Linked DNA regions of Pelodiscus sinensis. The protein of the gene in region 1 purifies or fractionates together with the protein of each later gene. This does not show direct contact. Links are inferred from orthologs where the notes say so. Each region holds a gene or a part of one and is shown on either strand. Other genes may lie near its edges.

Region 1 (9,931 bases):
GTGCTAGAAGTAAGTTTTACAGTACAACAGTGATAGAATGAGAACTTGAGTGAGGAGTCTACAAGGCAACCTGTAACAAAGATAAGAGTTTACATGACAATTTGTGACAGACTAGGAGTAGCCATGAACTTGAGATAGGAGGCATTGTAAGGGTCTTGATTAGAGTTAATTTGATTTCTCTCTGTTACAGGGAGAGAGGCCTGGAAAACTTTTAACCCTTACAGCAGTTTTCTTTTAGAGAGTTTTGATTTCCTGCACAGTCCCCCCTTAGACACAATTGGAGTTATTTGATTTTTCTCCCACAACTCCTAGGTTATGTCTACACAGTGGAGCTATTTTGGGATACCGGAAGTATCCTGAAATATCTATTCTGTTATTTCAAAATGAAATGGGATCGCTATTCTGACATCCCTGTAAGCCTCATTCCATGAAGATCACGGGATGTTTTGGAATACTGGTTTAATTGAGTAGCTTATTTTGAGCTAAGGGTGCAGTGTAGACACACACCTAGTGGTCAGTCATATTGCTCTGGTTTAAGGAAACAGAGCAAGTAGTGTCAAATAAAGAACTGTGACTTGACATTAGTAAGCATCTCACATTTTCCCACATGGGAAGGATGAAGCCTTCACTTTGAGACACAAGCTTCCCCGGACATAGCAAAACAGGCATGGATTAAGGCTGCGTTCGGAAGAGTTTCTTTGCTGAGCACCATCAAGATTTTGTCCGTGTTGCCCTTCTGTGGAACAGGAATAGAGGCCTCGCGGGTCAGCTTTCCGCCGGAGGAGATTTGATTGATGTGGCGTACAAGTATAGTCCATCTGTGTTTATTCTCACACCCTAGTCCTCGCACGGAGGTTGTCAAACAATACGCAGGCAAAGCTGTGAGGTCTGAGGCCCTTTTCTGCAGCCATTCTAGGGGAGCAGCAGGCATGAGCCCAAAGGAGCAGAAAACCACATCCTCGCACTCCTTCTAAATTATATTAAAACAAGGTAACATCCGGCTGCTCCCCTCAACAGCACATGTAGATAAGCAAGGAATCTCTTTAGATGTAGAAAGAACAATTTGTTTGATGGCATTCAGTCTGGCAAGGCATCACTTACCAACAATGGTGGGGGCAAAAACTCTAGTATTTTGCTTTTATGGTCTCTACTTCTCTATTGGTGAGTGTCTGGTCCTTTTAGGGTGTCTGACCATTGCATAATTAATTTTGCAAGATTTAAATCAGTGAAGGTGGGTGAGGTGGGACTGGTTTCATAATGGGCTAGGATGGGTGCAAAATACCTTATATACAGCCTTCTGCTGCTCCAGTAGATTGTAGGAGGCCTTTGTGACCCTTCCCAGCCACCGTCACCCCCACCGGGTGCAGAAAAGCAGAGCCCTGCTCTCGATTTCGACACAATGGGACCAGCTTCCATAGTAGCTGGGGCAGGAATCACCCTAGGGACCTGCTATTCCGGCAGAGGTGGGTGCACCCTGCTTTCAGAGAGGAGGCACCTTACACTACATGTTCCTACTCTTCCCTCTGGGAGCAGGGTGGCTCGGAGGCCACCACGGAGCATTACTGCTCCTTTCCCGCCAGGGTGCGTCAGAGCAGGATTTCTGAGTTCAAGAGCAAATTCAGCCGGCCAATGCCATCGTCCGAACCTCTTGCATTCACCAGCAGTTCCCTTTCGCACTCCCTTCGCCCCATTCTGAAGTGACTCCCTGCCTCCAGCTAGCCCAGAGGCGCACGTCACCGGTTCCATCAGCAGAGCCCGATTCACCAGGTTCCACTGACAGGCATCTTCAGAGAGGAACCCCCGCACGAAAGGGTGTCTAGCGGTTTGGTTTTATGGAAAGGGATGAGATCTGGAGACGGACGCTGGCTCTGTCCAAGGTCCTGAGTCAAGAACTGACCAGTCCCGTCCTCCTCAGTCCCAGGCACGCAGTAACAGCCCCCATCTCCCTACCCCAAGCAGCCTTCTCCGTTGCAGATTGTCAGGGGAGTCCTGTTCGAGCACTTCCTGCCTTGCTAGCGAGCCAATCAGAGCCTTTGTACTCAGCTAGAGTGTCGGATCCAGTTCTGGGCCCCACATTTCAAGAAAGATGTGAAGAAATTGGAGAAGGGCCAGAGACGAGCAACAAAAATGATGAAAGGCCTAGAAAACATGAGCTATGAGGCAAGGCTGAAGGAATTGGGCTTGTTTTGTTAGGAAAAGAGAAGACTGAGAGGGGACATGAGAGCCATTTTCAGGGATCTAAAAGGGTGTCACAAGGAGAAGGGGGGGGAATTGTTCTCCTTGGCCTCTGAGGACAGAACAAGCAACAATGGGCTTAAACTGCAGCAAGGGAGGTTTAGGTTGGACATTAGGGAAAACTTCCTGCCTGTCCGGGGGATTAAACACGGGAATAAATCACTGATGGGGGTTGTGGAATCTCCAACATTGCAGATATTTCAGAGCAGGTTGGATAGACACCTGTCAGGGATGGTCTAGGCAGTGCTGGGCCCTGCTGTGGGGGCAGAGGACTGGACTTGATGACTTCACTAGATCCCTTTCAGTTCTAGTGTTCTAGGATTCATACCCAACAGCGTTCCTCTCCACAGGGGAAACTGCGAGGAATCTGTGACATCACAAAAGAGTGTCTGATGGAGGAGAGAGGGAAGAATCGGTGTTAGTTACGGATCAAAGTATTGGCCTGTCTCATAACATCCCTAAAATCTGACATCTAGATTTGAGCCTTCACCAAAACTGCAGGCTTTGGTTCACACTCAAGCCACTAAGAAGCTGGTCCCACTCTGTCACAGGGACTTTGTATACCTACCTGGGTGCTCTGAGCTCTGCCAATGTCTGTCACCTCCAGCAGCAGCAGCACAGAAGCAAGAGTAGCAATACCACAACCTCTCTCCTCCCCCCACACACAATGGCCTTGCGACTGCCCCCAAACACCTTTGTGGGTCAGGACCCCAACAGTGACAACCTGCAATGTCAGACTGAAGTAGCCGGACTCATGAACTGTACCATTTTTAAAAAGCCCAGGGTTATGAAATTGACCAACATGGACCATGACTTTGGTAGGGCCCTGGCTTATGAAGGACGTGACCAAGCGTCACTCTGCAGTGTACAGGCCCTGTCTGAGTGCTGATTTTAACAGGTGCATGTTAGACACCCGCGCATGACTTACCACAGCAGCAGAGCAAGCTGGAGCTAATGTCAAGCAGCTGTCATAAGAGGGCAGGAGGCAAAACATACGGATCTTTGCTGGGACTAAGGAATACCCCTAGAAAGCTTACAGATGTCACCCCATGCGGCTCTGAGTCTTTCCCAGCTCCTGCTCAGCCTGGCTAGTTCTAAGACCAGGGAAAGTGGATTTTACCCCCGCTCTCAATTTTCAGAACAGACCCAAACCACAACTGGGCTGCTGAGGTCAAAGTGGCTGCAGGTGCCACATCTCCTGGGGACAAGAGAAAAGCAGGGAACCCCCTGGACCTGGTGTGGCACCACCAGAAAGTCCTTCCCTTAGCAACCTTAGCAGGCCCACTCCAGCTCAGTGCAGAGAAACAGATGCAAGGAGACTGGGACAATGGGACTAGTTCAGAGGGTTGGCATAAAATGCTCCATCGCTTGGCTTGGTTCCGAGATCTGTGTCTCCCAAGGCGGAGCTGGGAGCAGGACAGGCCCTGCTTTGAGAGCCTGGCTCCCCCTGCAGCTGACAGAACCAGAGCAAGAAGCAAAGCCAGGCCGCGGCTGAGCAGAGCCCGTGAGGCACGAGAGAAGAAAACACTCGCCGAGCCGGGGACAAGAGTGAGAGAAGGGCAGTGACTAGGCGTTTGTGGGGTGAGTGTTGTGTGTATCACACCCGCCTTGCGCTTCATTCACGGTTAGTCACTGCTGGGAAGCTGCTCTCCAGGGGAAGTACAGAGCAGCAGCGAGGGCCCCGTCTGCCCTGCCTGGCCGGGCTTCGGCACTACACAGCCATAGCATGAGCGGGGCTGCACTCAGAGGCGAGGGACTTTGGCTGCTTGAGAGGACAGCAGCGTGGTGGCCTCTCCGTGGCCAGGCCCAAGGGCTGGTCTTCCTCCTCCTTGCAGTTCCGGCTGGGGCGCTTTGCCCACGCACGCCAGCGGGAGCCATCTCGCTGAGGCTGGCCCCTAGATGGGAGGTGGCAGCCATTTGGGCAAAGGGCAACACTTCCCCAGGAGGCAGAAATAAAATGCTCCCGTCTCGAGCCCGGACAGCCCCCAGTACCGCAACCCGGCCACGTTCCCTTCGTCCTGAGTGACGAGCACCTGGGGCTGCCCCATCAGCAGCCTGCCTGGATGGGGCTGGTTCAGGGAGCAGCTGCCCAGCCCTTCCTGAGGAGCCGGCCTCTTTGAGGTCTCAAGAGGGGCGCCCAAAATCTGCCATCACTGCTCGAAATCTTGGCCTGGACCTCTCTGACTCAGTTCTCCCCTTGGTAAGAGCGGGTGCAATGCCTCCTTCCCCGGGAGAGTCCCAGGCTTGGTTACAGTTTACATAAGAGCCCCACTTTGTCGGCGCATAAACTCATAAGAACAGGAGAACGGCCGGACTGGGTCAGACCAAAGGTCCATCCAACCCAGTAGCCTGTCTGCCGACAGTGGCCAGCACCAGGTACCCCAGAGAGGGTGGACCGAAGACAATGATCAAGCGATTTGTCTCCTGCCATCCCTCTCCAGCCTCTGACAAACAGAGGCCAGGGACACCATTTTATCCCCTGGCTAATAGCCTTTTATGGACCTAACCTCCATGAAATTATCTAGCTTCTCTTTAAACTCTATTATCAGGGCTGGCTCGAGCCCTTTTGGCGCCCTGGGCCCGGGCGTGCAGTGCTGCCCCCAGGCACAGGGCGCATGCGCAGGCCCACCCATGGGGCACGGGCCTGCCCATGGGGCACATGGCATACACGCGCGCTAGCCATGGCCACTGGCGCAAAGCCTGAGGCCCGCTGCCGGGGCACGCGGAGCATGCGCTACCCAGCCCAGCCCGGCCAGCGCTGCTGGCACACATGCCGGGCCGTGCAGGGCCCCACAGCCGTCGGGGGAAGGGCACTGCTGGCCGGCACTGAGGGGCAGGTGCTGCAGGAGCCGGGCGCACGTCTCCTGATGGCATCTGTCAGGGACACCATGCGCCCCTTACAGCTGCCATTAGGTGCCCCTCGTCGGTTGGGGCTCTGGGCAGCTGCCCAGCTCGCCCATGCCTCCACCCAGCCCTGTCTGTTCTAGTTCTAGCCTTCCCAGCCTCCTCCGGCGAGGAGTTCCACAGGTTGACTATGTGCTGTGTGAAGAACTTTCTTTTATTAGTTTTAAACCTGCTCCCCATTAACTTCATTTGGTGTCCTCTAGTTCTTCTAGCCGCACTCGGCTCCCCCAGCTCAGTGCTGCCCAGGCCCGGATCAGCCCCCAGGGCAGGGCCCACTGGCCCCAGCTGCTGGCCTCCCACGTGCTCAGGTGGCACCTGCCCCGGAGGCTGGCGAAGGACCTGGCCCCGCCCCTCCCTACCCGCTGCACTGCAGCCGCCGGCCGCCAGGTGGCGCGCGAGCGCTCTACGGCTGTGCGGGCGGCGGGCCCTCCCTTTAACAACATGGCGGCTAGGCCCGCCCCCTTCCGGGGCCACGTGTGACGTGTGACCCCGTGACCTCACGACGCAGCGCGTCCCCCGGCACGTGCGGGGCGGCCGGCGTGGAAGCATGGCGGAGGCGCGCGCGGTGCCCAGCGACCTCTTCCCGCTCGTCCTCGCCTTCCTGCGCGACAACCACTTCGAGGGCGCGGCGCGCGCCTTCGGCCGGGCGGCCGGCGTGGTGAGGGGCGGGGCCGGGGGGGGGGTCCTGGGGGCGGGGCTGGGGGGGTGTCCTGGGGGAAGGGGGGGCTGGGCCGGGGGGGGGTCCTGGGAGAGGGGAGGGGCTGGGAAGGGGGGGCTGTGCCGGGGGGGTTCTGGGGGAAGGGGGGGGCTGTGCCGGGGGGGGGTCCTGGGGGAAGGGGGGGGCTGTGCCGGGGGGGGGTCCTGGGGGAAGGGGGGGGCTGTGCCGGGGGGGGGGTCATGGGGGAAGGGGGGGGGTCATGGGGGAAGGGGGGGCTGTGCCGGGGAGGGTCCTGGGGGAAGGGGGGGCTGTGCCGGGGGGGGGTCCTGGGGGAAGGGGGGGGCTGTGCCGGGGGGGGTCCTGGGAGAGGGGGAGCTGTGCCGGGGGGTTCTGGGGGAAGGGGGGGGCTGTGCCGGGGGGGGTCCTGGGGGAAGGGGGGGGGTCCTGGGGGAAGGGGGGGGCTGTGCCGGGGGGGGTCATGGGGAAGGGGGGGCTGGGCCGGGGGGGTCCTGGGGGAAGGGGGGGGGCTGTCCCCGGGGGGGGGGGCTCCTGGGAGAACAGTGTTTGCCTACCTCTCCGGGCAGCTGCATGTCACCTTAGCACCGGGGAGAGACAGTCTCTGCATAAGGCGTGAGACCTCATTGAAAATGGTGGCAGATGATCGCAAAATTGGGAGGGCCTCCCTCCCCTCTCTTCCCTCCCCCCAACTTTCTCCAGATCTGCCCACTTTTTCTGTCTTTTCGTAATTAGATACTGATAGTGATAATTCTTCTAGAATACTTACTGTCTAATCAAGATGTTAAGTAAATCTTTCCCCCCTCCCATTAGGCTCCATTATTGCAAGGCATTGGCATATACCTAACTGGACACACTGAGTTGTCCCCTTAACATGAATGAAACTACTCAGTGTGCATAGTTAAGAATAAGGCAATGTCTCCTAGCACACGTGTGGCTGAAGTGTCTGCAGAATCTTGGTTGTAGATGTTAACAAATCTATGGGTCCTGGAATTTTGAGTCCTAAATAACTCAGGTTGTTTCTTTTTTCAGATTACTCAGAGGCTTTTAACTCTAGCTTCTGATGCTATTGAAGGTTTTTATGAGCAACACACTCCATTTGCTAAGTCTCCCACCTCTCCACCTGGTATACATCAGGAAGGTGTGAATTCAGAAGTGGTTGCCAATGGGTCAGGGTTTTCCATTCCATCCAAAGTCGAGAAGTCCATGTGGTTTGTCAGTGCTAATAGTCCTGTGTGTTTCTGGTTTACAGACAGACCAGGACCCTAATGCTGCTTCTCTCTTGGATGTCTTCAACTACTGGCTCAAGTAAGTGTCTCTCCTCCTACAATATTTGTTGAGAAGGACTAAGCCAGTCCATCTCTGGGACATTTCTATGGTCGCTTTGTTTTTCAGATTGGTGTATTAAATGGCAAAGGTTTTCCAGCAAAACTAAACTTCCATCATACAGTATTATGGGGAATAATTTGGCTACAACTACGCGAGAGAGCTCTTGGAGTCATTGTGGATAGTTCTCTGAAAATATCCACTCAGTGTGCAGCGACAGTCAAAAAAGCAAACAATGTTAGGAATCATTAAAAAAGGATAGAGAATAAGACCAAGAATATCTTATTGCCTTTATTTAAAACCAGGGTACGCCCACATCTTGATTACTGCGTACAGATGTGATCACCTCATCTCAAAAAAGATATATTGGCATTGGAAAAGGTTCAGAAAAGGGTAACAAAAGGGGTCCCCTATGAAGAGAGATTAAAAAGATTTGGACTTTCCATCTTAGAAAAGAGGAGATCAAGGGGGGATATGATAGAGGTTTATAAAATCATGACTGGTGTAGAAAAAGTGAATAAGGAAAAGTTATTTACTTATTCCCACAGTATAAGAACTAATGGTCACCAAATGAAATTAATAGGTAGTAGGTTTAAAACAAAAGTTTTTCTTCACCCAGCACACAGTCAACTCCTTGCCAGCGGATGTGGTAAAGGCTAGAACTTTAACAGGGTTCAGAAAAGAGCTAGATAGATTCATGGAGGTTAGGTCCATCCAGTGCTTTTTTTTGGTTAAAAAGGGGGGGGGTGCTGGTACTCCAGGGGAGAAGTTGTTGAGTTCTGACTGGAGGAGCTGGTACTGTGTTCCAGGCAGTACCTGTCCATAATAAGGAAGGACTGTTTTTTAGAAAATATTTGCAAAGCACTTCTAATCGGCCTTCTCGTCACAAAGTTCCAGGCTGCCATTTCAGGAGCAGCAGCCTACGGCCCTTTAACCCCTTTTAACCTTATTTTAAGTGAAAGGCTAATATGTGAGTTTTTTGATATTCCATACTTATGGTATGACTTCGCTGGACAGTTTTCCCCAGCTGGACAAGCAACTCTGGGCTTAAAGAACCTCCAAACCCGGGTTTTTCTGTGTAGGTAGAAGTGCTCACACCCAGGTGAGAATCCATGCTAACTGGGCAATGAAGACACATCCTTAATTTTCGTAAAAGAATGTGCATTCAAGTTGGCTTCTTGGCAACAAAGCAGCTGTTGAAAGGGTAGCTGGTCTTCTCAGGATAAGAGGCTAGAGAGTAGGGAAAAGGAGCTAGTTAGTCCAGGAAACCTTAAAGGGATTAGAGAAACAGTAAAAATAAGCTATTCTAAACAGAGGGGAAAACCTTATCCGGGGTTACTGTGTAGTAGATATGCACTTTACACAATCCTCGCAAAACTAGTTGTTTTTGAGAGATTGTAAAATGACCCACGCTCCCAGCTAATCTAATTGTGGCCGTTAAGAAGCTACAGGTAGTTAGACCCTTGTCTTCAGCTTTAGCTAGGACTTACCTGAGACATGTGCCTGCAACCTGCTGGTCTGCATTCAGCTAGGAGACACTGCTTTAAAAGTGCTGCGTAAGCCCAGTTGGCTGTTCTAGAGTCCAAGTCTGGTCATTAAAAACTGATCCCCAAAATGCTCATGCTGTAATCCTGCCTTTCTGTCTGCCCCGAGCCAGTTATTCCTCAGTGCAGGTAGGGTGGGCTTATTGGGGACGGAACAACTGATGAAAGAGCTGGCAAGAGACATGGGGGGGTGGGGAGCATGGGCAGTTTGAATCAGAAATGTGCTGCTGTGAGCTGGAAGGGTCTGCAGAGTCAGGATCCTGAGGGAGCTGCCTTAGTTGCTGTGTTTGGGAAGGAATGCAGAGGGGGTGGCTGTGCTTAAGGCCACTGTCAGGGCTTCCGAGAGCTGTGTGTCACGAGCTCAGGGGCCCCTCGTGAACCCCAAGTATCTCTGGGATGTGAGCAGTTTATTTTAAACAAGAATGAGATGAGGCAGCACTTGAATTTCCTACCCCTCAGTGCAGGAAGAGAAATACCCTGATAAACTCCTGCAGCCATAAGCATTCTGCTTTTCTCATTTTCTCTCAGGTTCTGTTGCTTTTCTCTACCCATCTCTCTATTTGCATTTTTCATGTGTCTTTAAAACCCCAGACCCATATTTCCAGATCCATGATCTCTTGACCTAAGAGATCCCTTATTTGGTTCACCCCAAAGTCGAGAAAATAGGCATGCGGAGACTTGAACCTTGCAGTTGTGGCATTGCATACCTCTCCATTGTAAGAATCGTTTATCTAGCTAATGCCTTTAAGAGGGCTACTGAAAAACAAAGCTGGAACTGAATTGCATGCAGAAAACATAAATTAAAACTTAAAATTAAGGTAACTGTCAAGAAAACAGGGATATTAATAAAAAATGCAGAATTTAGTGATTGCATTTATACTGTCAAAAATGCAAAGTATAACCTCTGGCTTCAATTAATCATCAACAGCACTGAGTTGCATTTTTAATGAGACTTGATGCCATAATAGAATTGAAAATAACAATCTGTATTTATTTAAGTCATTAAAATCTTTAAACGTACGACATATGAAATCTTTGTCTGATTACTTTCACTGGAAAATCTCTTAATTAGCATCTTACCATAGCTCAAAAGAACTAAGTTATCTGGTGTATGAAGAGAACTCTTAGTGTAAACAGACCAGGTCTTGAATCCTCACAGAGTGGCCATAGCTACTTTGTATATTGTTGTATGCAGTGGCTATGAAAATAGACTTTCCTGTACTTGCAAACCTCCTCCCCAGATCCCCTG
Region 2 (9,764 bases), on another chromosome or scaffold:
TTGTAATAAATCCCAATGGAAGGGGGCTGGAACGGCCTTGTGTGACCTTTCCCAACTGAGGGAAGGCTGGAAACCACTGTGAGTGGTTCCTAATGGTGTTGAGAGACACCATGGCTCTGTCTACACTGCTTCTTTTGCCAGAAATATGCAAATAAGGCTAAGCATGGAATATCCCTGAGCCTCATTTGCATACCTAATGAGCCACCATTTTTACAGAAGAGGCTCTTGTGCTAGAAGGAGCTGGCTACACTGCCCCTTCTTGCACAACAAAAACCCTCTTGCGCAATGTCATTCTTCCTGAAAAGTAATCAGCGTAATGGCATTGCGCAAGAGGGTTTTTGTTGCGGGAGAAGGGGTAGTGTAGACAGCTCCTTCTGGCACAAGAGCCTCTTTTGCAAAAATGGTGGCTCATTAGGTATGCAGATGAGGCTCGGCGATATTCCATGCTTAGCCTCATTTGCATATTTCTGGGGCAAGAAGCCATGAGTGTAGACATAGCCCATTTGTGCCAATTCCCAGTGGCATCTAGACATCATTGTTCCCAATTGTGAGAAGGGATGGAAACCACCATATGTGACCATCCTGGTTGTCCCACATAGAGATTACGCAGAGCCTCTGCCTCAGTAGAGGAGTAGGCCCTGGATCTCACCCAGTGCATGCCTCACTGAGGTGGGTCACCAGAATACCACCAGGCACATGTGTCTCCATCAGAGGATCCTATAAACCACTGTGCTTACCTGTGGGGTGGGACTTGAAACAGCTATGCACACCTGGGAGATGGCTGTAGTGATGCAAGGGTAGCAGAGTTTGGGGTCCAGTCTTTCCTGATTGGGGGATGAGGGGCTTGGTAACCATTTACTGACCTGGAGTGGGGAGAGAAGTTTGGGTCCTGGAGCTGTCTAGGAAGGAACAGTGAGTGTCCCCTAGATGTAGGGCAGCCACGGACCTGAGCTGGGAGTAGCTGGGGGGGGGGGGGGAAGCTGAGCCACCCTACTCGGGGATGGTGAGCTGTACCAGCTAGGGACCTCAAACAGGTCTCAATCAAAGGCGTAATCCCAGAGAGACATTTCATAGAATCATAGGACTGGAAGGGACCTCGAGAGGCCATCAAGTCCAGCCCCCTGCCCTCAAGGCAGGACCAAGCTCCGTCTACACCATCCCTGACAGATGTCTATCTAACCTGTTTTTAAATATCTCCAGAGAGGGAGATTCCACCACCTCCCTTGGCAATTTATTCCAATATTTGACCACCCTGACAGTTAGGAATTTTTTCCTAATGTCCGATCTAAACCTCCCTGGCTGCACTTTAAGCCCATTACTCCTTGTCCTGTCCTCAGAAACCAAGAGGAACAAATTTTCTCCTTTCTCCTTGTGACACCCTTTTAGATATTTGAAAACCGCTATCATGTCTCCCATCCCCTGCCTGTGCCTGCCCTGTGCCCCAGAGATGGGGAGACACCTGTGAAATATGGGGATAGAGCTAAGTAACCCCTGAATAAAAGTCCATCTCTGCAGTCTTCTCTCACTTCTGCTTTCACAGTTGGTTGAGTAACTTCCGCCAGCACAAACCACAGCTGTCCCATTTCCAGGCATGGGGCAGGGCTCATGTAGAGCATGGGGGAGGGGGACGGGCCGGGCGTAGCAGGGTGCATGCAGGGCATAGGGGTGCTGCATGGGGCAGGACAAGGGGGAGCAGCCTTGAGCAGGGCCCAGGGGGATGGCAGGGACTGTGCAGGGTACTGGGGTCACTGCATGGCCCAGGGTGCCGCAAGATGCATTCAGGGCACGTGCAGGGGGGCTAGCTCCTCTTTGTGCTGTTGAACGCTACGTGCCGAGCCGCGGGCAAGGGGCTGTCTGGGCGGGGGGGTCATTCCCCTCGCTCGCCACAAGGTTGCAGCAACATCCCCCGCCCCTGACGGCTCCTCCCCGGCGCACCCTCGGATTGGCTGCGCCGCCACCCCACGTGACGCGGGCCTGGCGCTGGCCATGGCTTCACTCGAGTCCGCTCCCTCCCGCTATCACCCGGAGCCGGGACGTGAACCCCGAGTCTAGCGCGGCGCCTGCACCCGGAGCCGGCATGGGGGAGAAGGCGGGCACCAGGTGGGGGCTGGTCCGGCGCGCTACAGGGCGCGGGGTGGGGAGGGGGAGCTTGCATCCCAGCAGGAGAGGGAACCCAGGCGTCCTGGCTCCCCCCCAACCACCAGCCCCCACTCCCCTCCCACAGCCAAGGAGTCCTGACTCCCAGCCCCCCCCAACCACCAGCCCCCACTCCCCTCCCACAGCCAAGGAGTCCTGACTCCCAGCCCCCCCCCAACCACCAGCCCCCACTCCCCTCCCACAGCCAAGGAGTCCTGACTCCCAGCCCCCCCCGCTCTGACTCACCAGCCCCCACTCCTCCCCAGCGCTGGGGAGGGAACCCAAGAGTCCTGGTACCCAGCTCCCCTCCCCCCACTGACTCATCAGCCCCCTCTTGCCTCCCAGAGCTGGGGAGAGAACCCAGGAGTCCTGGCTTCCCTTGCATATGAGTGGGAAAGGCCTGATCCTGGTGCAAGGATGTAGGTCATGGCTGGGGGAGGGGCAGCTAATCCAGGAGTAAGGCAGCAGCACTGCCAGGCACTGGGGGTGGAACCAGATTACGGAGATATCGGACCCTGGTGCCAGCCCTGCCTCGGACGCCTGGGTTCCTCAGGACACCTTGGGAAGCTGTCATTTAACACCCAGATGCCTCGGTCCTTTGAGGCCTTTGGGAAGGGCTCCCTCCAGACAGGTGCAGGGACCTGGCCCATGATATGATATTCTCCCCCTGCCCTGTCTCTGCGTTGGGTGCTAGGGATAGGCTGGAACCTGGCAGCAGCTGTCAGGCATGTTTGGTCAGAGCGCTCTGGAGTTTATTGCCCCAGAGATAAGGGCAGGAGGCTAGAGAAGAGGGGGCCAAGGGCTGCCTGGCTCCACCACTCCTGCCAGTGCCCCTCACTCCCAATCCGCAGCCCCTTGGCTCTGAGGCTGTTTGGGATAGTGGGTCTCTCCTGGCGTGGGGGTGGGTCAGAAAGAGGAACTGGAAGCTGCGTAGCTCAGCAGGCAGACTGCAGAAGCTGCTCTGAGGAGCAGAGCAGATGTGGGGGGAGGGCTGGGATTGGGGGAGCAAAGGGATCCCAGCCCTAAGTTTTTCTTTACAAACACTTTCAGTCCCAGCCCTAGGGAGTCCCACACTCTGCATTCCGTCCCTGGTGCAGAGATGCAGCCACCTCTTGGGGGAGCGGAGAAGTTGTACAGAAACCTATGTTGAGGAGGGAGGGGGGCCCAACGCTGTCCCATCCCCTTGGGGCAGTGCTGTCCCTTCCTGAGGCCATAGAGAGGGCTCAGGATTAGGGCCAACTGGCTGAGTGCTGAACCGCAGGGGTGCACGGTGACCTCCCCCAACTGTCACCCAAGTGCCTCCCTAGGACTTCCTCACAACATCCTGTCTAGGAAACAAAACAGGAAACGCCACGTCCTGTTGGAGACACGTGTCCTAACCTTGTGCCAGCCCTGCCCCATGCCAGTGCCCCTCACTCCCAAACAGCAGCCCCTGCCAGCCCAGTCCTGGGCTCCCCTCAGCTCTGCCAGTGCCCCCCATTCCTGACTCTCAGACCCTGGCAGCCCAGCTCTGGACTCCCCCAGCTCTGCCAGTGCCCCTCACTCCCAACCTATAGCCCCTGCTACCCCAGCGCTGGGCTACTATGAGTGCTCCTCACACCCAACACAAAGCTCCCTACTGCTGTTTCTGTTCCCATGTGCTGGGTTCCCTGTTTACATCCTGGCACCCCATATGTCTGTACCTTCCAGGTGGGGCTGCTTCTTGACTCCTCCTCCTCAACCTGGTTGTTCTGAGGAAGGGGGCCAACAGCCAGTGGGGTCAAAGGTCAGCCTGGATCTTCCCCAGTGCATGAGACATGGGACTAGCAATTTCCATAGCAACCTGAATATGTAGGGGGAATCCAGCACTGAATCCTCCCCCCAAACTGTATGAAATGTTTGGGGAGATGCTCTTAGAGGGAGGCTCTTAGAGGGAACTGGGCAAGCCTGGTGGGGCAGAAGTTGGTTCTCTCCCCTTTCTGGAAAATTGGGGAGGGCTTTATGGAGAGCTGTGGGGGACCCTTCCCCCCAGATCCTGCCCCCCTCATTCTGAATCAGCTGGGTTGTTCCCCCTTCACTCCTGGGTGGTCCCTGAATTCACTCCTCCCCACCCCCCTGCTGCTCCTGTCACTATGGTTACACTGGGACAACCAGCCTGGATCCTGTTTCTGTGGCAACCAGCTAGACCTGAGGCAGACAGGTGGATTCCCCCCCCCTTTCCCCCAGCTGAGCTACTGCTTGGAAGGCAGAGGTCAAAGGTCAGCCTGGTGGACCCCTGAGATGGGGGGAGCTGAAGTTGGGGAGGCCCATGTCAGTCAGTTCTGACCTATGCCCCTTCCCCCACCCCTTTTCCTCCCCAGGGTCTTCAAGAAATCAAGTCCCAACTGCAAGGTGAGTGACAGCCCGGTGCCCCTCACTCCCAACTCGCAGCTCCTGTGCCCCACCTGACCCCAAGCCAACCTAGCCCCATCCAGTGCCTCTCACTCTCGACCTGCAGCTCCCAGCCACCCCGGCCCTGCCCGGTGACCCTCACTCCTGACCCCCAGTAGGGATGTTAAGTATCGGGTAATTGACTAGTCAATAGGACACCTCTGCCTTTGAAGTGTAACAACAGCTTGAGGGCTGTTGCTACACTTCAAAGGTGAAAGCACCAAAGCGCTAGGGTCAACTGGGGACTCCCCCACTGACTCCAGGCTCCATGCAGCATTGCTGCTTTGAAACGGCATTTCAAAGCAACAGCGCTGCACAGAGCCCAGGGTCAGCTGGGGAGTCCCCAGCTGATCCTGGGCTCCCCACAGCATTCAAAGCAGCAGTGCCACACGGAGCAGCTGACCCCACGCTCCATGCAGCGCTGCCGCTTTGAAGTACCCCCCCTTGTCGCCCCCCTTGCTGCCTCTTTCTGATAGAGCCAGCAAGAGGGAGGAGCAACTAGTCAACTATTCTGTCGACTATCCGATAAGCATTTGCTTATTGGATAATTGAATAGTCTTTCACATCCCTTACCCACAGCCCTTGGCCCCACAGCCCGGTGCCCCTCACTCCTGACTCACAGCCCCCCATTTCCCATCTGACGTGTAGACTCTGGCCGTGCCCGGTGTCCCTCACTGCCGACCCGCAGCCCCTGGCCAGCCTTTCCCTGCCTGGTGCCCCTCACTGCCGACCCACAGCCAGCCCAGCCCCACCCAGTGCTCCTCAATCCCAACCTACAGCCCCTGGCCTGCCCAGCCCCGCCCAGTGCCCCTCACTCCTGATCCGCAGTTCCCGGCCAGCCCAGCCTCATCTGGTGCCGCTCACTCCTGACCCGCAGCCCCGCCCCTCCCAGTCCTCCTCAATCCCAACCTGCAGCCCCTGGCCAGCCTGGCCTTGGGTTCTGGGTAAGAATGTTAACTGGAACAGCCATCCGCCCGTTGTGGGTGTGGGGCTGCTTCCGCTGTGGGCGGGGAGGGCAGGGTGCTCCAGCCTGGCCTGAGCAGCTCTTGTTTTTGTTTGCTGTGGGTCCAGCCCAGCCAAAGAAGGGGTTGCTCCAGCCTGGCCACGGGCAGGGGCTACCCTGCCCAAGTGCATTTAATAGGTTAACCAGTTAAACTTAATGTTTAACCAGTTAACTCATTAAATGGGATTTTACATCCCTAGTTCTGGGTGTTATGGTCTCTTCCCCCCCCCCCCCCCCCCCAACCTCAATGGTTTCCTCTTGCGGCTCTTCCCCCGCCTGGCTTCCTCCCTTGCGCACTGACACGGGGATCCTGCCATGTCTCTCCCCTCCCCCCATGGGCCTTTGCACACACTACTGAGTGCCCGTCCACGCAGAACTTGGCCTGAGGCTTGTGCATAGAGAGGTGGGGGGGCTAAGGTTGGGATGGGAGTGGGGCCCTGTATTGTCGAGGGGCAGAAGGTGCAGTGTAAGGGGGGCTCTGAGCTAGGGAAGAGTCATCCCAGGTTCTTGAGGGAGAAAGGGGGAGAGGCCCTGAGCTCCAGGCAGTGAAGAGTTAACCACCACCCACTTCTTCTCCCTCCTTCCCCCCCACACAGTTTGTTTACATTGGGTTTCCACACACCTGCCCCCCCCCCTTTCCTGATTGGCTGCCCCCCTCCCTAGGGCCCCCTCAAATTCCTAGGGGGCGGCAGAGCTGCAGATAAACAGACTCTGGAAGGAGCAGCGGGTGTGGGGGGGTGGTAGGTACAGTGAAGGTGCGTGGGGGGGCAGCAGGCGTGGCTGGGGCAGGGAGGGCATCTCAGGGTGGGGATGGAGCCCCTGGAGCTGGACAGGATTCGATGTGAGATGTCTGGGAGCCTCCGGGTCTTCAGAAAACAGCTGGGAACCCAGGTAAGGGGGTGCTAATTGGGGACTGACAGCTTGCATCAGAGCAGTCCTGATCTGGTAGAGTTCCCCCCCACCCACTGGGTGCTGCAATGGGCTATTTCCCCACGTGGGTGTGAGGATCTGTCTGTCCCCCTTCCCCATGTCTGTCTGTTCCCACAGCTCACTGTCTATCTTGGCAAGCGTGACTTTGTGGATCACCTGGACCGGGTGGACCCTGTGGGTGAGTTAGGGGGTTAGGGAGTGGGGAGGGTAGGGGCCTTAAAGGATTGGTGGAGGCTGGGAATTGGGGATATTGGGGGGCTGGCAGTTAGGGGGTCAGACATGGAGGAAGGTCAGTGGGGGTCTGGAGTTCAGAGGGCCGGTTGGCTCTAGGAGTGCTGGAGGTTGAGGGGCAGAGATGGCTGAGGGGCAGTGGGGTGCTAGGGCTGGAGGTGTTTGGGGTGCTGGGAGACCAGGGACTGGTTGGCTATTGGAGTGGGGTGGTGGTTACGGGGATGAGGGTTCAGGGTTAGGAGACATGGAGTAGGGAGTTAGAGGGCTGGTCAGAGACTGGGGGTCAGAATGCTGAGGTGGCTGGGGGAAGTCTGGGGGTCCAGGGACTGATTGGCTCTGGGGTGGTTGGGGTGCACAGAGCTAGTGGGGATCAGGGGATCCTGCCCAGTCTCACCCCTGCCCTGATTCCCATGCAGATGGAGTGGTGCTGGTGGACCCCGAGTACCTGAAGGATCGGAAAGGTGAGAGGGGCTGGGGGGGGAGGCTCCTGCTCTGAAGAGGGGTGAGATTCCAGGCTCCACCACTGCCCCTTTGACCCAGACTGGCTAGGGGCGAGGCTGAGTGATCAGGCTCCACCCCTGGCATGTCTGTTCTTGGGTAGGGGGAGGCATCTTGGGGAAAAGGAGGGTGGGAAACAGCTTGGGGAATTCTGAGTAGAGCTGTCTGAGGCCTTCACCCTGTCTTGCTGCCCTCTTCCCCACCCCTCTTCTGCAGTGTTTGTGACTCTGACCTGCGCTTTCCGCTATGGGCGTGAGGACCTGGATGTGCTGGGCCTATCGTTCCGCAAAGACCTTTTCGTCGCCACGTGCCAGGCTGTGCCCACCCTGCCTCAGGAGCAGTGCTCCCCCACCCGCCTGCAGGAGCGGCTGCTGCGCAAGCTGGGAGCCCATGCCCACCCCTTCTCCTTCACGGTGAGCGCCCCGGGGACTCTCCAGGGACCCTCAACCTTCCAGTGCCCTCTTTCACCTTCATGCTGAGCCCCCAGGAACCCCAGCACCCCCTAACCCTAGGGATGTTAGTGGCTAGTTGCCTAATCGTTTAACCAATATGCGATTGTTTATCAGTTAACAGTCCCAGTTAACTGCAACACACCCCTACGTGCTCTGCATTTAAAACTCGGACCAGCAGGTTTGCTCAGTCGCAGCCCATAGGTCCAAGTTTTAAATGAAGAGAACATGGGAGCCCCCTACCACGCCACGCTACTGCCTTTGAAACAGCTCAGAGCCTGCGGGGCAGCAGGTGGGAGTCGATACGTGCCAGCAGCTGGTTTAAAAACCAGCTCCAACCTTCCACCTGCACTAATGCCTCTGAATCAGCCTGAGCTCCTGTCCTACTCCTGGAGTCCTAGACAGGAGCTGCTGTCACCAACACGGAGTGGCAGGGGGCTCCCCAGGAGTAGGACAGGAGTTCACTGGCTGCCAGGCCCAACCTCAGGAGGGAGCATTTTAGTAACCGTGTACAGGGCGCCCCCACTCTAAGTCCCCCTGTTATACATCTGTTCCACACTGAAGTCGTTGCCACTTGTAGGAACTGATGCATTATAAATCCTCCCATTCCCTGCTCTTCGGTCATGCCAAAAACAAAACAAAAAACCCAATTTGAGCACATGGAAGTCATCCGTGGGGAACAATGCCCTGGTTTCAGTTTCACTATAAGTCCAGGTTTTTTTAAACATATCTTGGATTTATCGCAAGGCCGGCCTGTAACCACTAAGCACTGCTGACACTACACAATTACTAAAATAAACCATTTCTGACATCCCTGCCTACTCCCCCCATACCCTCTTTCACCTTCACAGTAAGTCCTCAGAGCGTCCCCTCATGTGGCAAAATGGGGATTTTATGCCCTTTATGTTGCTTGTTAGTTCTGGTGTCATGCCATGTGTTGCCTTCGTTTCCCTGGGCACTGTACCAATGCCTAGACGGGGCTGGGCATTTCAGTGTGACAGCCTCCCCCACATCCACAGTGGCTGATACTTTCTGGAAGTTGAGCCTGGGAGGGGTGCGTGTCTAAGTAACATCTTTACACCAGGAAGCACCACAAAGGCTGGAGGAGGGGCCTGGCTGGGACTACCCTGACTCTGGTCCCCCCTCTCCCCAGATGGATTGTACTGGCTGCTGCTGGTTTCTATGTTGACAAGTCTGTTCTACACTGTATCCCTGTCACCTACTAAACTTTCTGTTTTACCTGCCGGCTGGGAGTCACATCTGACGGCACATGGGGATGCAGGGCCCTGTGACACACCCAACCCCTAGTGCCCTATGAGGGGTCAGAGCCCTGCTTAACCTTCCCTGTGTCTCAGATCCCGCAGAATCTGCCCTGCTCAGTCACGCTGCAGCCTGGCCCAGAGGACACAGGCAAGGTATGGACTGTGGGACTGAGAGTCGGGCGTGAGGGGCACCAGCAACACTGGGGGAGCTTAGGGCGGGGCTGGCAGGGGCAGTGGGTCAGGAGTGAGGGGCACCAGCAACACTGGGGGAGCTTAGGGCGGGGCTGGCAGGGGCAGTGGGTCGGGAGTGAGGGGCACCAGCAACACTGGGGGAGCTTAGGGCGGGGCTGGCAGGGGCAGTGGGTTGGGAGTGAGGGGCACCAGCAGGGCTGGGAGAGCCCAGGGCTGGGCTGGAGAGGCTGTGGGTCGGGAGTGAGGGGCACTGGGAGAGCCCAGGGCTGGGCTGGCGAGGCTACGGGTCAAAAGTGAGGGGCACCAGGCTAACAGGATTTTTCTCCCCCTCTCAGGCCTGTGGGGTTGATTATGAGATCCGAGCTTTTTGTGCCAAATCCCTAGAAGAAAAGATTCATAAAAGGTACTAAAGTCCCCCATGTAGGGTAGAGGCTACAAATGTGCAGGAAGATCCCCTATCCTACCAGAACCTGGGAGAGAACCCAGGAGTCCTGGCTCCCGGTCCATCTGTCCCCATTATAACTCACCAGCCCCCACCAGGCAGAAGACCCAGGTATTTGGGCAGGCTGTGACTTCCCTTCCCCACAGGAACTCAGTGCGCCTGGTGATTCGAAAGGTTCAGTACGCTCCAGAGAAGCCGGGCCCCCAGCCCAT
Region 3 (10,273 bases), on another chromosome or scaffold:
AGTTAAGGTACTTTGACTTCAGCTACACAATTAACATAGCTTGAAGTTGTGTATCTTAATTCAACTTTGTCCCGTAGTGCAGATGTTCTCTGTCTTATTCTCCATCCCTTTCTTAATGATTCCCAACATTCTGTTTGCTTTTTTGACTGTCACTACACACTGAGAGGATGTTTTCAGAGAACTAGCCACAAGGACCCCGAGATCTCTCTCTTGAGGTGTAACAGCTAATCGAGAGTCTGTTGTTTCATGTGTATAGCTGGGATTATGTTATCCAATGTGCTTTACTTTGCATTTATCATCATTGTATTTCATCTGTCATTTTGTTGCCCAGTTTTGTGAGATTCCTTTGAAGGTCTTCACAGTCTGCTTTGGACTTAGCTATCTTGAGCAGGAGCTTCAGGGGGTAGCCGAGTTAGCCTATTACAGAAAAAAACAACAAATGGTCTGGTAGCACTTTATAGACTAACAAAACATGTAGATGGTATCATGAGCTTTTGTAGGCATAGCCCACTTCTTCAGATAATTCTGGTCATCTGAAGAAGTGGGCTGTGCCCATGAAAGCTCATGATCCCATCTACATGTTTTGTTAGGTCTGGTAGCACTCTATAGACAATCTTGAGCAGTAATCTGGCATAATAGGATGATCCTGGGGTCTATTGCACTGTGATGTACTTAAAATGCCAAATGAAAGGACCAGTGACTGGTCTTCATCCCAGAACTATCCCAGTCACTTGCATTGTCAGCTGGCTACTGGCCCCCTTGTCCAGTGCAGCCCAAGGAGGCGGAAGGAGTGGATTCCAATGGTGGAGAGATTGGGGCAGAGTTCTGCTGTGGCTTTGGGGGGAGGAAAGAAGGTTGGATGTAGCCCCAGGTCGGATGACTCTATAGAAGGAGGGAGCTGGTGTTTGACATGGTGACAATGTGTTGGCTCCTCTCTGGCCACTTGTGTTTCTCACACTGGGATTTCACGCCCAGAGCAGCTGGTCCTGCTGTGAAGTGTATGGCTGGCCTGGGGGGAAGGGACTGCTGGCTGTTCTAGGAGATCAAACGCTTCAGAGGGGTAGCTGAGTTAGTCGGTGTGGGGCCCAGAAAAACAAGGCCTGGTCAACATTATGCTAAGGAAAGTTAACAAAGGCTAATTTCATAGGCCTCTGAGTATTCTTGACCAGAACCAGGAAAGCTGTTCAGACAGAGGCGCGCCCTCCATGCTGGCTTAGGTTATAAAAGTAAGAAGTGATAAATTACATATTTGTACCTACTGCGGCTTGCTTTGGGAACTGGTCAGAAGCTCCCTGTTTTTGTTCCCCTTCACTAATCTTACCTCCCTATTTTTTGCCCTTGGTTTGTACCCGACTCTTTTGTCTCCTTGTTCCTGGTACCTGCCTTTTGTGATTGATAAGAAAGTTGCTGATGCATTCTGAAGCGCTTCTGGCCACAATGTATGGTTGGCTAAGATATGCATAGATATTAAAAGTTTCTAGAAAGGGGGGTAAGTGGCTTGGGTGAAGAGCTTATGACGCAACGGAACTATCTTTATAAGCCTACCTGTCACTAGAATCGGGGCTGCTTCTCTTTGGAGACGGGCCGCTCTCTATTGTTGTGTGCACTCTTCAATAAAGAGCTTGTGATTGGACTTTGCTGGTGTTGCCTGTCTCTTTGCGGTCAGACAACGAACCGAGTCATCTGGGCTAGAGTCCCTGACATCGGTAACTGGAAAAACTTAAAAAACGATCATCTAGCAGCACCTTAAAAAGACTAACAAAACATGTAGACGGTATCATGAGCTTTTGTGGGTACAACCCACTTCTTCAGATGACTGGAGTATTAAAAGCCCAGATCCAAGAATAAATAAGGGAAGGCGGAGGGACAGGAAGGCGGAGGGAAAAAGGGGAAAAAAAGAGAAAATAAAGTAGTGAATTAGATCAAGTTACAAGAGGCTAATTGCTCTTATCAGCCTCGTGTAACTTGAACAATCTAATTCACTACTTTTTTTTATTTATTTTTCTTTCTCCTCCTCCTTTTCCTCCACCCTCCCTCTCACCGCCCCCCCCCCCCCCCCCCCCCCCCCCCCCCCCCCCCCCCCCACACACACACCTTCCCTTTTTTATTCTTGGATCTGGACTTTTAATACTCCAGCCATCTGAAGAAGTGGGTTGAACCCACGAAAGCTCAGATGCCAGCTACATGTTTTGTTAGTCTTTTTAAGGTGCTGCTAGACTATTCGTTGTTTTAGGAGAGTAAGTTTCCTTTTTTTCTGCAGCACAGTAGTAAAGGGAGGAAAAGGGCCCAAATAAAGGAGCATTTGAAAACTTGGAGTTGGGGGGGAGAGCTGCCGCCAAGGCATTTACATTTTGGCTTTGGCCTACGTAAGACATGAAGACCCCGTGTAAAGACACAATGGCCATTTCAAACCTAAGCTCTACATGCTCTAGAAGAGCTTGGCTCTAGAACCAAGCTCTGGGGCCTGAGCCACAAGCTCGCATGTGCAAACGCTCCATGATGCAGGTTGCTAAGGCTACGGGGTGATGGAGCAGGCCTGGGCCTTGGCAGCTGCAGAGCTTGCTCCACCAGCTGGAGGACTTGCTGAGGAGGGGATGGGTCAGGCTGAGGCAGCAAGGAGAGGCTGTCAGCGGATAGGAAGCCAGTCAATAGCTTCTGGGAGAGAGGAATCCCATGGAGGCCCTGGATTGTGGGTGTGTCCAGACCATGGGCCCACGGGTGTGATTCCTTTTCTGGGGCGACATGTAGGGGGGCATGAGGGTCATGTGCCCCAAAGCTATGGGTGCGAGAGACAAGGAGCTGGTCAGCACTTGAGGCAGAGCAGCAGGGGGCCTGTTCCTGGAGCAGGGCTCTGCCCTCACCCCCGGACTCAATGGCAGTAGGGGGAAGTGGAGCAAAGTGGACCTAGCTCGCTCTGCTCCTCCAGTTGTCCATCAGAGAGGGACGAGACGGCCCCCGCGCTCGCTCTTGGGAAGAGGCAACGTGGCCGGAGGAGCACAGCGAGCCGGGGCCATATTGCTCCACTTCCCCCAGTGCGGGGGGGGGGGGAGAACCCTGCTGCTGGCGTTGCCCCCAGCCAAGCTATTCCCCCAGAGCCGCCTCGACTGAAGGAAGAGGTGGGGCGGAGGCAGAGCAAAGGCCAGGAAGAGGCAGGGAGAGGGTGGAGCAAGAGTCAGAAGGGGGTGAAGCTTGGGTGAGGAGAGGCAGGGCTTGGAACAATGGGGGGTTGTCCCAGTCCTTCCCCAGGCTGCGGGGGGAGGTGTCACATGAACAGTGGACCCTGGATTCCCCTTCACTGCTCGCCCCGTCTTTTTCCCCTCCCATTCCCCCTGACAAAGGGGAATCGTTGGGCGCTGGGGTGGGGGCGGGGAAGCTGTTTTTCTGAGTGGCTGAGACAGCTTCAGCAGCCCTCCATGAGTGTCTGACCATGCCCCAAAATGAGGGGAGACAAGGAGAGGTAGGAAGTGACCAAGGGGAGGCTGGTCTGTGAGACCCTCCTTCCACCTTGGGTGCTGGGCTGGGACCTATTGGAGAGGGAGGGCCAAGGTCTCCCTCCGGCCTTTGTCTGACCGGGGGAACCTGGAGAAGGACAGACTGTAACTTGGCCACCAGCCCCTCGGATTGCCTGATAAGCCCACCCCAGGATTTGGGGGACTGCTGAGCCCTGGCCGGCCCACTAGGCCTGCTGGTCCCTAAGTGAACCCTGCCCTATCCTTATCTGGAGCGAGATGGCTTCCAGGGCTTCGTGATTGGTTTAATGTTGTTGGGCATCTGCTGCCTTGTGAACCCACACACGGTGGCATTGGGGTCAGTGGAGGGACCCTGTTGAGTGGAGAAGTTGAGGCCCTGTTTGCATTCTGGAAGTGACCTCAGGCAGGTCGTTCGGGGCCTGGGCGCTTTTGAGGTCTAGTGCTATTCTAGGCAGTCCAGTGGGGTGAGAACGTGTGACTGTGCAGACAAGCTCAGCAAACTGTTAGCAGGTTTCGCATCAAAGGGTTTTAGTTGTTGCTGGGCTCTGGGTCTAAGGACAAAGACCTGAATTTGTCCCTCCTACACACAGTGTCAGAGCTCCTTCTGCATGGCGTGGGATTTGACCATCTATTTGTGCATGAGAGCCAGGAGCAGGGCTCCATCTCCCATCATGCATCAGGGCCAGGGACTCCCATGATGCAGTGCCAAGAAGAGAGACTGAGGTGCACCATGGGAAATGTAGTCTGACCTAGGAAACTGAACTATGGGGGTTTCCCAGCCTAAAATGCCTTGGTACTAAAGTTGGGGCAGAAAATACAAATCTTCTGTGGGAAGAGAACCCCAATCTCCTGGAGCCGAGGAGAGTAAAGCTCAGGAGATCTGAATAGCTTCATCATCTGCCTCAGAAATGGAAATTGCCTCCTGCTGTCTCCTGCCTAGGGGAAGGATCAAGTGCCCCTTCCACCCCCAAACCCTCTGATTTTAGCTAACCACTTAGTTACACAAATAGGCCTTTATTCACCGGAGAGCAGCCCTTCATGCTGTACTAGCAGTTTTCATACCACACGCACACGCACAGTGGCGTGCCTCTGCTCTCTTCTTCTTGAAGTGAGCGCTAGAACGCCAGTGACATCACCAGAGAGAATCCAGAGGGGACAAACGGCACAAGCAATGAGATTTTCAAGTACACAGAATTACGCAATGGAGACAATCTCTAAGGCATCGTCCCCTGCTTCCTTCACCCTAGCTGGTGCTTCACGGTGGAGAAGTTTGTGTGAGGTGCATGTCCTGAAATAAATGGCAGCCTGTCTCCTCCATTCTTCTTCTTCGTTTCTCTAGCCCTTTCACTCTGCACATCATAGAGGGCGACCAGGAGTTGTGGATCCCATCCTCTGCCACAGCCTCCTTGTGTGACCTTTGTCAAGTCACTGGCTCTCTGCACCTGGGGTCGCCAGCTACACAATGAGGACATTTCCTTCCTGCTGCCCTTTTGGGTTGTCAGTTCTCAGTGGAAAGGGACAATGTATTTGTGTGAGCCCAGAGGTATCTTGTTCTGAGCGACTATAATCCCAGGTGATGGATACAGGGAGCTCATTTTTGCATCTCTTGAGGCAGCCATCTGATTTGAAGACAACCTGGATGCGGTAAGTGGGGACACGGAGCATCTTCTCCCTCTCTCTGTCTCTCTCTGGCCAGTTCTTGTTGCTGTGCTCAGGGTCTCATTTGTAGCCCTGGGTGGGGTCTGGAAGGAACATGGCCACAGATCTTTGGGGTGTTTTTTTTTCTCATTCCTCTGCAGCTTGTGGGAGCAGGTCACCCGCTACATCACCTGGGTAAATCTCAGTGAGTCATTTCCCCACCACTGCAGGGTGCTTGGGCTTTGGTGTCTTGTGTTCTCTGCCTGCGGCATGGCCCAGTCTCCTGTGGGCTGCAGTCCCTTTGTCTGATGTGGGTGGCTACTGGGCGGCGATACACAGAAGGTCGGACTGGGTGGCTTAGTGGTTCCCCCTCCTCTTTTCCACTGACTCGCAAAGGCATACTGAGCTTGTTCTGGTCAGAAGTGGGCCATCGTGCATCACTGCAGTTTGGAGCTTATCTAACGGACTCATGTGGCTGCATCCACACTCACCAGTCCGTGCTCCCCCCTCGGCCTCCCCAGACCACGAAACAGCTGGGCGTAGTCAGTGAACAAACTGACACCATGGCCGGCTGCTCTCACTGGAAGGGGACGTGACAGGAGTACATTCCAGTGTGGCTCCAGGGAATCTCTGTGCTGCAGCCGAACTAGACCTCAGTGCTGGTTACTGTTAGAATCATAGAATCATAGGACTTGGAAGAGACCTCAGATGGTCATCAAGTCCAGCTTCCTGCCCAAAGCAGGACCAATCCCAACTCAATCAACCCAGCCAGAGATTTGTCAAGCCGGGACTTAAAAACCTCTCGGGATGGAGATTCCACCCCCTCGGGATTCCATCCCAGTGCTTCCCCACCCTCCTAGGGAAATAGTTTCCCCCAATATCCAACCTAGATCTCCCCCACTGAACTTCGCTAAGCACTGAGAGGCCGTGTTCTGCGCTGTCCATGATCCACTCCAGAGGTGGCTGCATTTCAGCTGCAGGGGAGCAATTCCAGTCCCTCTTGTCTGTGAAGCCCTTGCATGCATTGTGCTGGAGGGGTTAATAAGAGGCGGATGGGGGGGCAGTGCAGGGGTGAGACCGGCTGTACGTTGTCCTGCAAGCCAAGCCAATGGCCTGGGATGGTTTCTGCCCAAATCCAGCTGTTTGGCACCAGGAAGAGAAGGGTCACAGAGCGTTTCCAGGAAACGCAAACTCCCCTGCCTGGAGAGCTGCGGCATGGCCAGCTCCCCTGCGTGCACACACTCCGCGGTTCACAGGCCACGGGCAGAGCCAGCCCCCTGCTCTCACGCAGCTCTGGGCAGCCGGAGGGAGATGATGCTGATGCTGATTTCCTGAGCCTGTTACCACACGGGCTGCAGCAGCTGTGCGCGGCTCAGTCCTGAGCTGTGCACGCCTGGAGTAGGAGGCGGTGTTGCTCGGAGCCCGGCGAGGGTGGATCTCTCTCCACGGAGGCAGGAGGGGAAGCTGTCAATGGGAGAGATGGAGCAGCCGTGTCTGCGAGCTACAACCCTCTAAGGGATCCTCTGCGTGTGTGTGTGTGTGTCTCCCTGTGCCTGGGATTTGCGCCTGTGCCCTTCATCTCATGGCTGCGTTGACATCCGTGCACCACCGCTGGGTTTATTCCAGGCTGTGATCTCTACGCACAAAAGCACTTCAGGGCCGGACGGCCACACGCCCAGCAGTCTTGTTGTTATTAAGACACGGAGCCAGGCGACAGCCCGGTGGAGCTCTCTGCATCGTCTGCAGCCGGGGTCTGCGCGCTGGTGCGGTGAGAGCGCGAGTAAGCAATTCCTGCCAGGAGACGACCGCTTCCTCTGGCTCCACATTAACAGCTAGTAATTTTCCACGCCTCTCTGATCCTTCCCTGGCAAGTGGCTGGAAGGGTGGCCTGGGCCATGGGAGACAAAGGAACCAGGTGGGTGAATGTATTTTTTTTTACATGCGGGTTATTCAGCTGCAGACGGTGATGCTTGCGCGTGTGTTATTCGCCTGTTTCCTGGACTGTAGCTGCCCCGGCAGATCCGCCTGCTGGATCCCGGCGTTTTCCCATGTACCGGGAGATGTTTGGGTTTGGAGGGTGAGGGGACTTGTTTTGTGAGCAGAGCAGCAAGGCGGCGTGTGGCGCTGAACGGCCCAGCAGAGCGAACGCAGACTCCAAGCCGTCCGCTCTCGACCGAATGCCCATGAATAGCCCATTTCCAGGGCTCCTCTAGCATCTGCCGCTCACCAGCGTGTGTCGCTTTGTTCGGCCGGAGCGCCGCAGCTCCAGCCTTTGGCAGATGCTACAAGGCGGGCTTGAAAACCCGGACTTTCCCCAGGCGGCGGAAGGGGGGTTTCTCCCTGGCCTGATCCCCCCCAAGAAGCGTTGGCTGGAGAGGCGGCCTTTTTGCAGGGCGCCCGGGTTGCTCGCGGGGGTTGTGGACGCGCTGGGTCGGTGGCGGGGTGGTCCCGTGGCTGGGGGGCGAGCGGCATTTTCGCTTTGCCTGGACCCGCTCCAGGGCAGCGTGGGCTGCTGAGGGCTCCTGCTGTGCCTCGGTTTCCTTTCGGAGCCAAGCCCCCGCCGGCGGGTAGCCCAGGGGAGCAGGGCGGGCTTCCCGTTGGGTCAGGGGTCGCGCAGCTGCTGGCTAGGGGCTGTGGAAATCGGTTCCGTGAATCACCCGCTTGGCTTGGCCGGGACCCGAAGCAAAGAGGATCCAGGGCTGGTGCCGGGCCACGTTTAGATCCCACGAAATGGCCCAGTTACCGCGGGCAGATGCGCACGGCGGGGTCCCTGCAATTGTCTGGGGCGAAGGCTGGGCGACTGCAGGGCGTGGAGAGGGGCTTTGCCGTCTCCTCTGGGGGGGCTCAGGGCTGCACCGTAGCAGGGTCCCTTCAGGGCAGGGGGGTTAGTGGGAGTGTTAGCTCGCCCCACTCCCAGTTCATGTGAGACGCAGCCTGGCCCGCTGGGCAGAGCAGGGGCGAGCGATGACTCTCCTACAGTAGCATGTGCAGCATTCGCTGGCCTGGCAGTCTCTGTCCGGCGCTGCCCCCCAGGAGGCGAGTACTACTCCTTCGCAAGTGGGGAAACTGAGGCACGGCCGTGCAGTGACTTGCTGCCCGGCGAGTCAGCGCTTTGGTTAGCACGCAGGAGGCCTGGCGCTCAGTCCTGAGCTGAGGGCTTGGCTGGCCAAGCCTCACTCTCGGAGGGGCAGCTCAGATCTCCTCCAGCCCTAGGTTCTGAGTTTTGGGGAGGAGGGGGGAGGTTCCTATTGCAGGGGAGGGATGTGAGCTTTGGGCCCTGCAGTGGGTGTGTGGAGAGTCTCGCAGGGACAGTTATCAGCCCCGGGAAACTCGGACTGCTCTGCTGCTCCCCACTCCATCCCCGAGGCTCCTGGGTGCGGGTGTCAACATCCCCTCCCAGAGCTGGCCCCCCTCCTCCTCCTCAAGCAAGGATGGTCTGATGGCTAGGACGATGGTGTAGGAGTTAGGAGCTGTTAGTTCAATTCATGGCTTTACGGCAGACTCCCTATGTGACTTTGGGTACTGCCCACTCTGTGCCTCAGTTTCCCCACATGCAAAATGTAGATAAGAATCCTCCCTCCCCCCACCCTTGTCTATATACATGGTGAGCTCTATAATAAGGACTGCCTCTTACTATGTGTGTATACAATGGGGTCCTCACCCCTGAGTGCATAGGTTTTAGGAGCTAGGGCAACCAGAAAATGTGGGTACTCTTTCCCTCAGTGGATCATTCTAAATACATACAGTTTGATTCACCCATAGCTAAAAGGCCTTTTATTTATATCTGAAATGCAGCCACTTCTGGGTTGGGATGTGGCAGCTGATTAACAGCTCACAACAACACTGCCCAGCAGTGTGGGAAAAGAAGAAAACTATCAAATCTTGTGAAAGAGGGCCCTTGGATCAGGCGGACACCCCCTCAAGCCAGGTTGGGAGCATGGGTTGAGCACAGACTCAGGAGGGAGAGAGGAGCAGCACTGTGCTCTGATAATGGAGAAGTGAACTGTAAAACATGCATGGCTCTCTCCTCTGGTGACTGTCCCAAAGACAGGAGAAGGGTCTGAATAGCTTAAAAATCTGGCCCTGCTACCATCATCAGCTACGCAAACTAGACGCACTTTGTGGCACACTGCATAGGCATGCTTGTTGGGGTTTTTAATGGATTTATTCTTTGGATTTTTGTTGCTAACTCTCCCTCAAATTTATTTTCACAATTTCTAACCCCGGGCCCGCCTGTCTTGGGAGTGCAGCTCAGCAGCATTTCCTTGTTAAGAAGTACCACACATTGCACCATTATTTATTGGTATTGTGGTAGCATGTAGGAGGCTCAGGCATGGGCCAAAGCCCGATTGTGCTCGGTGCTTTTATAAATGGTAGAAGGCTCTGAGAGTCGTTCCACTGGGATTACTCCACTGACGAGATGGAGGAGTTAGTTGATGCTACCGAGAAACTGTCAGACTGGATCCCAAAGTTCTGCCTGGGGGAGATTTTCAAGGCACAAATGGAAGTGCCTTTGAAATGTCTCTCCTCTGTGTGTAACATAAAAAGGAGTGGGATGAAGACAGGAGACTCTCCTTTCGCTGTTAGCAGTATAGAGCCTAAGATACACACTGGACCCGTTCTGAGTCCATCCAGCAGAGGGTGTTAGTACGTGCATGGATGCACGTGCATGTGCACACTCAGACACGCACACACACACATACGCACGCACACACTCTGCATAGTGGTGTCTGTTTTCAGGAATTGGAAGAACTCGTTTGCAATGACAAGTATGTGAGCTCTGACAAATTCTTGCAGGTTCCCGTGAGTCAGGAACCCTGCGTGCCATCAGATAGTTTTGTTGCTCTTAACATCTTTGAGGCAGACCTGCAATGCTGCCTCTTGTCACTTTAGGCTGCCTGTGTGCGTATGGACACAAATACCCCTCCCCCTACACACACACGCACATTTCAATGGCATCACCTCCTCCCCTCTCTTGCTGCTTACCCACTACACCAATCTGCACCAACTCCCCCTCCTCTAGCTCCTACCCTCCATCCTCTGCTGCTGGTTCACCTCCTGACAGCCCCAATTGCCAAAGGCATTTGGGAGGGGAGGGGTTCCTGGTTGTGCAGTCACTGAGCTAAGGGTCTGAGCAGGATTTCTCCTCTGACAGGTTTCCCTTT

The links. Proteins that work in one complex are often made in the same cells at the same time.
Region 2: the proteins of NOLC1 (region 1) and ARRB2 purify together in Homo sapiens (affinity purification with mass spectrometry; 5 studies listed by BioGRID and IntAct, counting the BioPlex papers as one, with this or other methods). This does not show direct contact. The link is inferred for Pelodiscus sinensis from reciprocal best matches to the Homo sapiens genes NOLC1 and ARRB2.
Region 3: the proteins of NOLC1 (region 1) and beta-arrestin-1 purify together in Homo sapiens (affinity purification with mass spectrometry; 4 studies listed by BioGRID and IntAct, counting the BioPlex papers as one, with this or other methods). This does not show direct contact. The link is inferred for Pelodiscus sinensis from reciprocal best matches to the Homo sapiens genes NOLC1 and ARRB1.

What each region holds. Positions count from the first base shown.
Region 1 is NC_134718.1:2,407,602-2,417,532, forward strand, and holds the start of NOLC1 (nucleolar and coiled-body phosphoprotein 1), read left to right. Parts: upstream 1-5,635; 5' UTR 5,636-5,686; coding exon 5,687-5,797; intron 5,798-7,064; coding exon 7,065-7,120; intron 7,121-9,923; coding exon 9,924-9,931. UniProt on the Homo sapiens protein: Nucleolar protein that acts as a regulator of RNA polymerase I by connecting RNA polymerase I with enzymes responsible for ribosomal processing and modification.
Region 2 is NC_134734.1:8,205,608-8,215,371, forward strand, and holds the start of ARRB2 (beta-arrestin-2), read left to right. Parts: upstream 1-5,853; 5' UTR 5,854-6,358; coding exon 6,359-6,439; intron 6,440-6,595; coding exon 6,596-6,656; intron 6,657-7,125; coding exon 7,126-7,170; intron 7,171-7,423; coding exon 7,424-7,620; intron 7,621-9,011; coding exon 9,012-9,071; intron 9,072-9,445; coding exon 9,446-9,513; intron 9,514-9,698; coding exon 9,699-9,764. UniProt on the Homo sapiens protein: Functions in regulating agonist-mediated G-protein coupled receptor (GPCR) signaling by mediating both receptor desensitization and resensitization processes.
Region 3 is NC_134711.1:324,011,320-324,021,592, reverse strand, and holds the start of beta-arrestin-1, read left to right. Parts: upstream 1-6,362; 5' UTR 6,363-7,003; coding exon of another isoform or gene 7,004-7,023; intron 7,024-10,273. UniProt on the Homo sapiens protein: Functions in regulating agonist-mediated G-protein coupled receptor (GPCR) signaling by mediating both receptor desensitization and resensitization processes.